Linked DNA regions of Rattus norvegicus. The protein of the gene in region 1 binds, or shares a complex with, the protein of each later gene. Links are inferred from orthologs where the notes say so. Each region holds a gene or a part of one and is shown on either strand. Other genes may lie near its edges.

Evidence for each region.
Region 2: the proteins of Bbs4 (region 1) and Bbip1 are in contact, whole or in part, in a cryo-EM structure (PDB 6VBV), measured with the Bos taurus proteins. The link is inferred for Rattus norvegicus from reciprocal best matches to the Homo sapiens genes BBS4 and BBIP1. Residues at the interface, in NP_001069424.1 of Bos taurus: Leu210, Leu213, Tyr236, Leu240, Ala241, Ser244, Gln247, Thr248, Ser269, Pro271, Asn274, Asn275, Met278, Phe281, Gly282, Lys284, Tyr298, Leu299, Pro301, Leu302, Asp303, Trp304, Lys305, Ile306, Tyr308, Asn309, Leu312, Leu315, Thr316, Gln318; in XP_003587939.1 of Bos taurus: Met7, Phe8, Arg9, Glu10, Val11, Leu12, Pro13, Lys14, Gln15, Gly16, Gln17, Leu18, Tyr19, Val20, Glu21, Asp22, Leu28, Lys30, Pro31.

Annotation. Positions count from the first base shown.
Region 1 is NC_086026.1:68,633,641-68,637,677, forward strand, and holds part of Bbs4 (Bardet-Biedl syndrome 4 protein), read right to left. Parts: intron 3,676-4,037; coding exon 3,548-3,675; intron 3,378-3,547; exon of another isoform or gene 3,145-3,377; coding exon of another isoform or gene 3,140-3,144; exon of another isoform or gene 1,298-3,139; coding exon 1,243-1,297; intron 1-1,242.
Region 2 is NC_086019.1:262,961,137-262,965,913, forward strand, and holds the start of Bbip1 (BBSome-interacting protein 1), read right to left. Parts: upstream 3,275-4,777; 5' UTR 3,203-3,274; intron 2,665-3,202; exon of another isoform or gene 2,643-2,664; 5' UTR 2,549-2,642; intron 1-2,548.

The DNA.
Region 1 (4,037 bases):
CCCACACCCCAACCCTTGAAAATAGTAATGATAATAAAAATAAAGTAGGTAAACCAAATAAAACACAAATGTCCATGTTTGTGATTTCCTTATTCTTGTTCATTTTTCTCCTGATAAAGTTGAAGTATCTTTGGCCAGAAAACCATTTCACAAACACTCATGCTGATTGATATTAATGCTTCCTGACAGGGACTGTCCCGTTGCTCTTCCTCACAAGCCAAAGACCAGAGGACCCAGTGTTAGACTCTAGGTTCTTAAAGCAATAGTTATAAAAGCTATTTCTGAGGCATATCAGCTGAACAGGGAGACTGTACAGTGAGCAGGGTAAGACAGCTCAGAGATCTGGAGCCTCAGGTACTCAGGCCAACACAAGTGGCATCCAGGGCTAGGGAGATGGCTCAGTGGTTAAGAACACTGACTGAGGGGTTGAGGATTTAGCTCAGTGGTAGAGCGCTTGCCTAGGAATCGTAAGGCCCTGGGTTCGGTCCCCAGCTCTGAAAAAAAGAACCCCCCCCCCCAAAAAAAAGAACACTGACTGCTTTTCCAGAGGTCCTGAGTTCAAATCTCAGCAACCACATGGTGGCTCACAACCATCTGTAATGAGATCTGATGCCCTCTTCTGGTGTGTCTGAAGACAGCTACAGTGTCTACTTACATATAATAAATAAATAGGGGTTGGGGATTTAGCTCAGTGGTAGAGCGCTTGCCTAGGAAGCGCAAGGCCCTGGGTTCTGTCCCCAGCTCCGGAAAAAAAAAAAAAAAAAAAAAAGAACCAAAATAAATAAATAAATAAATAAATAATCCTTTAAAAATTAAAGAGAGAGAGAGTCCCATCCACACTTGGCAATGTTAAAGAAAGGTAGTATTTCCTCTCTAAAAACCTACCCCTTGCTGCTCTCGCCTACAGGACCTTGGATAGCAAGTGAACTGCACAAAGTGGTAAAATGTATCAGTTCTTCCCCTTTCCCCCAACAATAAGGTTAACAGCCCCAAGCCAGACAGCAGTTTCTCATATATATTCTTTCCCTATTGTATAAGAATTGCTATTACACTAAGGCTGAAAGAGAATCATGACCTGGGTGCAAATGTTAATCCCGTTAGCAATGAGTATTTAAAACAAGCCATGGTTTCTGTGTGTACTGTGACCGTTAACACAATGTTCCAAGTAGAAAAGTGAAGGCGAGCACTGTAGACAAACTTAGGCACGTCTAAGAGCAGCATGTGAATGTGCAGTCTCATTACCTGTAGGTAGAGTAATCCTAAAGTTGTGAGAAGTTCTGTATTTTCTGGAGAGAACCTGTAACACAGAGATGCTCACAAGGAAACCATTGTTATGAGACAGACCTGTAGAGCCAACACTCTTCAAAAGCAAATCAGCTCAGTCCTGGAGACAGAGAAGATCTGCTCAGCAGAAGGAAATGGGCTTGGAACCTAGACTCCTTTTTCAGAGCCCTTCTTTTGGACCAACAGCAACCTTAAAAAAACAACTGTGGAATAATTCATCACACTGAAAATAATTAAATTTTAAGCCAAGTCAGGATACAGTTACGCTAGTCTCTCTGTGGAGAACTCTGTCACTTTCCCTGTGCAGACAATGTTACTTCCTATGTCACTTAGGACTCCAAGGTCCCTGACATGTGCTTTCCAAATTAAACAAAGCACCATACTTACTAAGTTGCCAACTAAACACAGAAGGCATATATCCACCCTTGGAAAGACTTAGATACTGGATCCTGGAGTAAACACTGGCCTATTATCTGCCTTTTCAGTTTTTCTCTGATGCTTGTCGTTGTCAAAAAGCCAAAACAACAGAGTTGAGACCATCTGAACACAGGATCATTAGTTTCACCTGAAAAGCATCAAAGAGCAAGGAAATGCTCCTGCTTGTTACCCTGAGGAGGTCCAGGACTTGCACAGTCAAAGCCTATCCTGTGCCTGAGCTGGCACACACTCTCTCAGTACAGCCGAGTGTCTGTCTTACTTTCCTACAGGAAGTATCCACTTTGAGCACACCCCTTCCTACACCACATAATGAACTCGTGCTCCCCACCCTTCCCATCCCATCGGGGTCTGTCCCCTGACAGCACTCCTTTCCAAAGCCGCAGGCCATGAAGCTATCATCTCAAATACTCAGCGCTCTTATTTTCTCCTTTTGGAAGATGAGTGATTCAAGTCTGAGTAGTCACTGTCTGCACAACCTCACCAGAGTTCATGTGTACTAATTCAAATGCCACCCTGTACAGGACAAGTGTCAGGAACAGGCTTACTCTCACAGGAGCTCTTGACTTGTTTCATGGTTCCTACCGACCCACAGAAGCCTAACCTTTTGATAATGGAAATCACTGAGCTTACCAACAAACCTAAGAGATTTTTCTGACACAAAATGTGGTTATAGAAAATGCAGAAAGTAGTGCTGTGACTGACACAGCCAGGAAGCTCACCCTGTGCTGGACAAAGCTAAGAAGTAGCCAGTACTCTTTACCAGTTCAGAGTCTTAGTCTGTGAGTCATACATGTTCTATGACCGAACATGACACCTGAGCATTTTACTACAGCTGTGCTATTTAAAGGAGGCAGGTGGACCTCTCCAAGTTCCTGGCCAACCTGATCTACGTGGTGAGTTGTAGGCAGCCAAGGCTACATGCTAAGACCCTGCCTCAAAAGAAATAAGTGAAACAAGATGACACTACACAGAAAAAAAAAACCAAAATTCTAGGTGTCCCTAGAAAAGAAACTTGGGATGGGAAATTCAGTCATCCATTGTCAACAGGTTAGACTACCCTAATGGGATTTTTTAAACAAAGATCAGCAGTAAAACATGTTATGTGGCTGGAGTTGTAGCACCTGTGCTCAGGTAAGCACAGGTAAGATTCTATTTTCAGCATAAGAAACCAAAATAACTAACGCAAGATATATCGGTCTCAGGTTAATGAGCGCAAATGTCTGTTACTGAGCTGGGGTTTCTGTTCCTAATATGATCACCAGGAACAGAGGATCTGCTACAAAATATCACCCAGCCCAAGTTCTTGCTGAGTGCATGGTCCACCTACTCCTGTTGTGGCTGTTTTCTCCTACCTAATTCCAACTGCAGATTATGTGTGCAAGTATGTGTGCAGTTATTTCAAACCAGAGGTACTTACTCCATACTGAGTTACAAGTATCATCTTCCTTCAGTATGGCCTGGAACATGTTACTCAGGTTGAAGGTGAAAAAACCACACAAGGAACTAATCCCCAGCAGCTGGCCTGGGAGGCAGCTAGCCTAGAACAGCACTGTCGCAGAAGAAAGCAAGCATCTGTTCTCAAAGGTCCCATTGCTTCCAGCAGGTGTGTCAACCTGTGGCCTCTGGGCTGCATACATCCCAGCATGGCTGTCAATCTGTCCCAACGCAAAATGGCAAACATACCGAAAACATCATGGGGTGTGTGTACAAGTTTTTGTTATTCAGTGTTCTCTTCTTGAGCATGGACTCTGTGGGTGATAACTTCATGTTGCAATGTTAAAAGGGTGGACACTCTAGTCCAAGTCCAAGTGAAAAGGACACTTACTCCACTGCTTTCTTGTAGATCTCAATGGCTTTATCCAAGTCTCCCTGCAGTAAATGGATCTTCCCCAGCATAATGTAAGTCAGGTCATGCTTGTTAAGCTGGAGGGCACTGTGCAATTGGTCTTGCGCCTAATTAAAGTTTAATAGAGTAAAGAAAACCAAATCAGCACCGTTGTAGGACAGTGGTGCATGTGAAGAACACAGAACTTTGATGTACTTATGTGAGAACATCATGTCTGAAAAAATAGCTCTCACAGCCTAAGCATAGCCTCGCTGGCCTTGCTGAATTCATATAGAATGATCAACTTCCTGAATGTTCTCTGACATTTACACCTATGCTAGGTAAACATTATTATTACCTCAAAGGGACATCATAGTATAGTATAGAATACCACACCAAACTTGATCCCACCTATACTCCTGACTACCTGGACAACCTTAGCCTGACTGAACCAGATTTCCTTGACAATATGAAAACAAATGAACACAAA
Region 2 (4,777 bases), on another chromosome or scaffold:
AGCCCCAGAACAGGCATTGTTGATGGAGATCTGGAAGATGCCGTAGTAATACTAACGTTACATTCATATTCATCTCATGTGAAATACTGCTCTCTCTAATAACTCGTTTCACAACTTGGTTCTGTGACAGTCTTAAAAATACTAACCAATAGCCGTTGTGAAAAGTTAATTAGTGGCTGAGATAATTGGCTAGCTATTTCCATAGTATATAAGGAAAGAACTATTTTGATAGTTTACATTGTTTTCCAAAGCCCAGTCCTCAAATCTCAGAATTTCTGCATTAAAAACCTTGTGTCATCATTAAAAAATATACATTTTTTCCTAAAGTCCGCCAGAATCACTGTATTACAATCTTTTTATATGTTTGACATTGAACTTGGAGATCTCTCTCCACACACACACACACACACACACACTCATTAAATTTCTAAATATTTTAATGCCCAATGTGCCCAAATTATACATTGCTATAGAAGTTTAGAACAACAATGATACTCTGACCACATTCTGTATGCCATGAGGCAAGCTGAAGTACTTTGCGTTCTGTTAAATTTAGTTTTAAACAGCCATAGACACTTAGCTAGTGAATGGGCATCTTCCTAACTCCAGGTCTGATTCTAAAACCTAGTCTTAACTACTATGTTATTTAGCCTTCCTGAATTCAGTATTAAGTTGAAATTGTTTCACAATCATATAGGAGCACACTTCCTCCTACACAAAGAATGCAGCTATTGGAACATGTTATTTTAACTTTCAGTATGACTGCTAACAGCATTCTATGCTAACCTAAGAAATCTCCTTTTAACTTTCAAGAAGAAAAGTGAGTGTGGAGCAGGAGGACCACGGGAGCTCTGCATTCTTGGGAGGGTTCCTCTTGTCATTATAAACCAAATCCCACAGTTCTCTCCACTGGGCAGAGCATGCTCCTAATGAGATGTTAAGTTTAAGCTTGGTTTTTAATAGGCAGTCCTTACTACCAGAAAGCTATTACAGAAACAACAGGACCAATGAGATCTTGCAGAAGAATTTCAAGGAGAAAATACCATTGCCTAGACTGGATTGTGGCCAGAGGGACAATAGTTACCTGGGTATCTGCTGAGATAACATCAAGATTCACATATTTGAATTACAGAGCTATACATCTTTCAACAGCAGTCTGCAGGGTGCCAGGACTTGAAACTCAAGAAACTATGCTGACATCAGCATACTTTACTGTAGATTTCATTGCATCAGCATAGGCAAAGTAGCCACATTTATCAAAGGGAGACAGTCTATATTGACAGCCTAGGGCACTTTAAATACTCTATACACACAGGCAAATTAAATGCCAAACTCTCAGCTTGACAATGGGATGGACTTTACTAGTAACACGAGGCAAAGGTATATGTAGTTGCATTTGAGAACCTAACTGGAAAAAGTTACACAGTTATGCACAAAAAAAAAAAAAAAGAATTAAAATTAATCAGGCCTCAAGTCTAACTTCTAATTGGTATGAAATAAAAAAAAGGGATCCCTTTTCAACAATACCTCTGGATTTCTTTGACTTTGTTAAAATGTCAGTGTCACAGAGAGGAAGATCGGGACAGCTATAAAATTCTGAAGTGGCAATGCCCATGTACAATACAAAACTTCTGAAGTATTTTGATTTGTATAGTCTCTGTATTTTATGTTACAAAATTGCTACTTTTCTTGGTTGTAATAATACTGTATTTTACTAATTTAAGATTTTCAAAATCTTAAATTAACGTTAGGGGGTCTAACTGCAGATCAATATATTATTTCTAAATAGTACTAAAGTAGGAATGTGAAGAGGAAAGAGGTGTATATATATCAGAATCTGAATAAGTATCCAACATAGGTAAATAGGTCTAAGGCTGTAAGTGCTCCCCGCCCTCCTGTTTTGAGATAGGATTTCACTCTGCATCCCTGTAGCTTTGAACATGAGATTCTCTTGTTTCAGCCCCTAAGTGCATCACACCATCACACCTGGCTTTTTTAGCTTTGTAATGTGTGCACGTTTTCTCTCTCTCTCTCTCTCTCTCTCTCTCTCTCTCTCTCTCTCTCTCTCACACACACACACACACACACACACACACACACACACACACACACACAGTCGGGAGGGTAATTATGTTGTAAAGACTTCAGAGGTCGACCCTAAGAAGCACTGAGTGCCAGGGACCATGCTCAATTCTGCTACTGAAGGACACTGCTAATAATTTAACCCTTTAGGAGAGCACTATTATGTGCGGAGCAGGTGAATCCCACACGGATCACGTTGTTCAGGCATAACACAGTCAACACAGCAAAAGGTCCTCAAGCAGCTGACCCATGAGATAGTGAGAAGGGTAAGGTTTCCTGTTGGAGAGATTGCGGTACACATCTCCAAGGATAACAGAATAACTGACACAAGTCACAAAAGGTGACAGCCGACTTCAACGATTAACCTCAGCAGAAACAAGACTACTTCATTGTTTGCTGGAACACTGGTGGAGAAGGCAGATTCGCACTTTTTCGATTGGTTAGGCAGAAGCATATTTTAATTTACCTGAAAATTGTTATCTTTTTCTTGCAGCTTTAGGAATCTGATCTGTAGTTATCAGAACGGTTGACTTCTTGACTCAAAATGCCCACAGAAGGAACTACAAGAGACAATATCTTGGAGACACATAAAGCATTTTAAGTATTTTTAAATGTTCTTTAAAAGGATGGTCACAATCGTAGACACCCAGGACTAACTACTACAATACACCCTAACCCAGAACTCTAGTGAAAGCTTACAAAGTGCCCAGAATGGGAAGAAAAATCAGAAGATGAGGGCTGGCTCAGGGAAGTCATCTTTTTCTTTGATAGTTGGGGTGGAAACTGGTTCCTTTTGGTTCCCGAAATCTAGAGTTTCTAAAGGACAGGAGGTGAAAGGACCATACTCTAGAGGAACTCGCGGAGGTGTGTCGCGTGTCCCACAGTGCAGACCTAGGGTCTGCGGGTCCTCTGGTCTGGCCGGGGTGTGGGTCAGGCAGCCTCGCCCTACAGGGAACCTCAGAGGGGCGGAGGGAAGGCTGGCCACCGCCCCACCAGCCGGAAAGGAAACCTTCTGCCAGCGGAAGCGGCCCTGGGCCTTAGCTAGTAGTCTTCTCCGAGCTCCCTCCCTGCTGTTCATCCGGCCTGGCCGGCCCCGTGGTAAGGCGTCGGGAGCACTTACCTCACTCTTCAACTCTGGAAGAGGAGGTATCCCCTGGGGCGCAGGCTGGGGCGACTACTCCCACCTCCTGGCCATGACCCTACTAGGAAGTGCCAAGCGTAACTTCCGGCGCGAGGGAGTTTTGAAGCTCTAAACTGTAGTTCTAGGTAAGTGATCAGGCGGCTCAGTGAAGAGCCTGAAAAACCAAACCTGCAGTTCCTGGGCGCGAATTAACTCGTCCAGTGTGGACTATCTGTGCACATCTTGCGTAAGTATACTTACAGGTGCAGCCCTTTCCAGATGGCTCTGCTGTTGCCTGGGGCAACGGAGGGGACCGAATGCAGGAAAAGTATACGTCAAACGGGTGACAGGAAACGCCTCCTGCCATTATCAATTATGGCTGCCTGGGCTTCAACCGTAACTTCCGACTGGGAGTTGTTTCTCTACCCGGCTGGAGGCTTTCTCTGTGGCGGAGCTAGCCAGCGGCGCCCAGTGGGCGGGAGACCGCGCGCGGCCGCGGAGGAAAGGAAAAGGGCGGGGACAGGGAAGCTGGCACCAATGTCTCGCTCTGATTGGGCGACTCCATTTGCCATGGCTCCGCCCATTCCCTCCTCCCTAGCGAATGCCCAGGCTTGTTCAAGAGGGTCGGGGCGGGGCGATTGGAGCCAGAGTGTGTGGAGGGGCGGGGCGAGTGGGGGAGGGGCGGGGGGGCGGTGGCAGGGGAGCGTCGCTCGGGGAGCGGAGGACGAGGAGGAGGAAGGAGGTGAGCGGGGATGGTGGAGTCGGGGCTCCGGACGGCAGCCTGGGGCGGGAGCAGCACAGGGGCGCCCGTGGGCCAGTCCTCTGCCTTCCTGCCTGTCCGGGGACCTGGCCAGCCGTCGGTAAGGGGAGGCCCACAGGTCCTGACAGGCGCGAGCCGCGGGGGCCGGGGCGAGGCCTGAGGGGTCGGGGCCCTGGGAGGCGCCGCGGCTGCTTTCCGGGGTGCCACGGCCCGGGGCTCCGGGGCCTCGGAGCCGCTGCCCGCGCGGGGCCAGCGGGCGGGGCACCGGGAGCAACCGGCTGCCCCTGACAGCACCGGGCCGGGCCTACTGCGGAGCGGTCGGCTGGGACAGCGCCGGGGCGCGGGCGCGGGCCCGGGGCTGCCGGTCGGTCAGTCGCGCTCCGGTTGCTCCCGGCTCTCGGCGCCTCCGGGCCGGGACTGCGGGGCTGCCCGGGTCGTGCGGACGTTTGGCGCCGGGCGGGCGGGCGGACCGGCGGGCGGGCGGGCGGGCGCGGCCGTGGTTATGTGGGGCTATGAGGCTGTGGAGCTGTGGGGCTGTGGGGTGGGGTCGCTGCACCTCCTCCCCAAAGTCCTTGGCTCTGGGCGGTCTCCTCCCCACAGACCGACCCTGCGGGGAGATCGGCGGATCGGCGTTGGGTGTGTTGCGGAGTGAAAGGAGTTGTGGCCGCCGAGACCGCCCTGCTAAACACGCCTGATGGCAATCTCCGCGTCGGCTTTGAGGGCTAGAGGAAAAGTAGTGTAACTCCCCGCCCCCAGCTCGGAACGCAGGAGGCTGCAGGGCAAAACGATTTTCCCCCTAGCCCCTCGGTATCCAT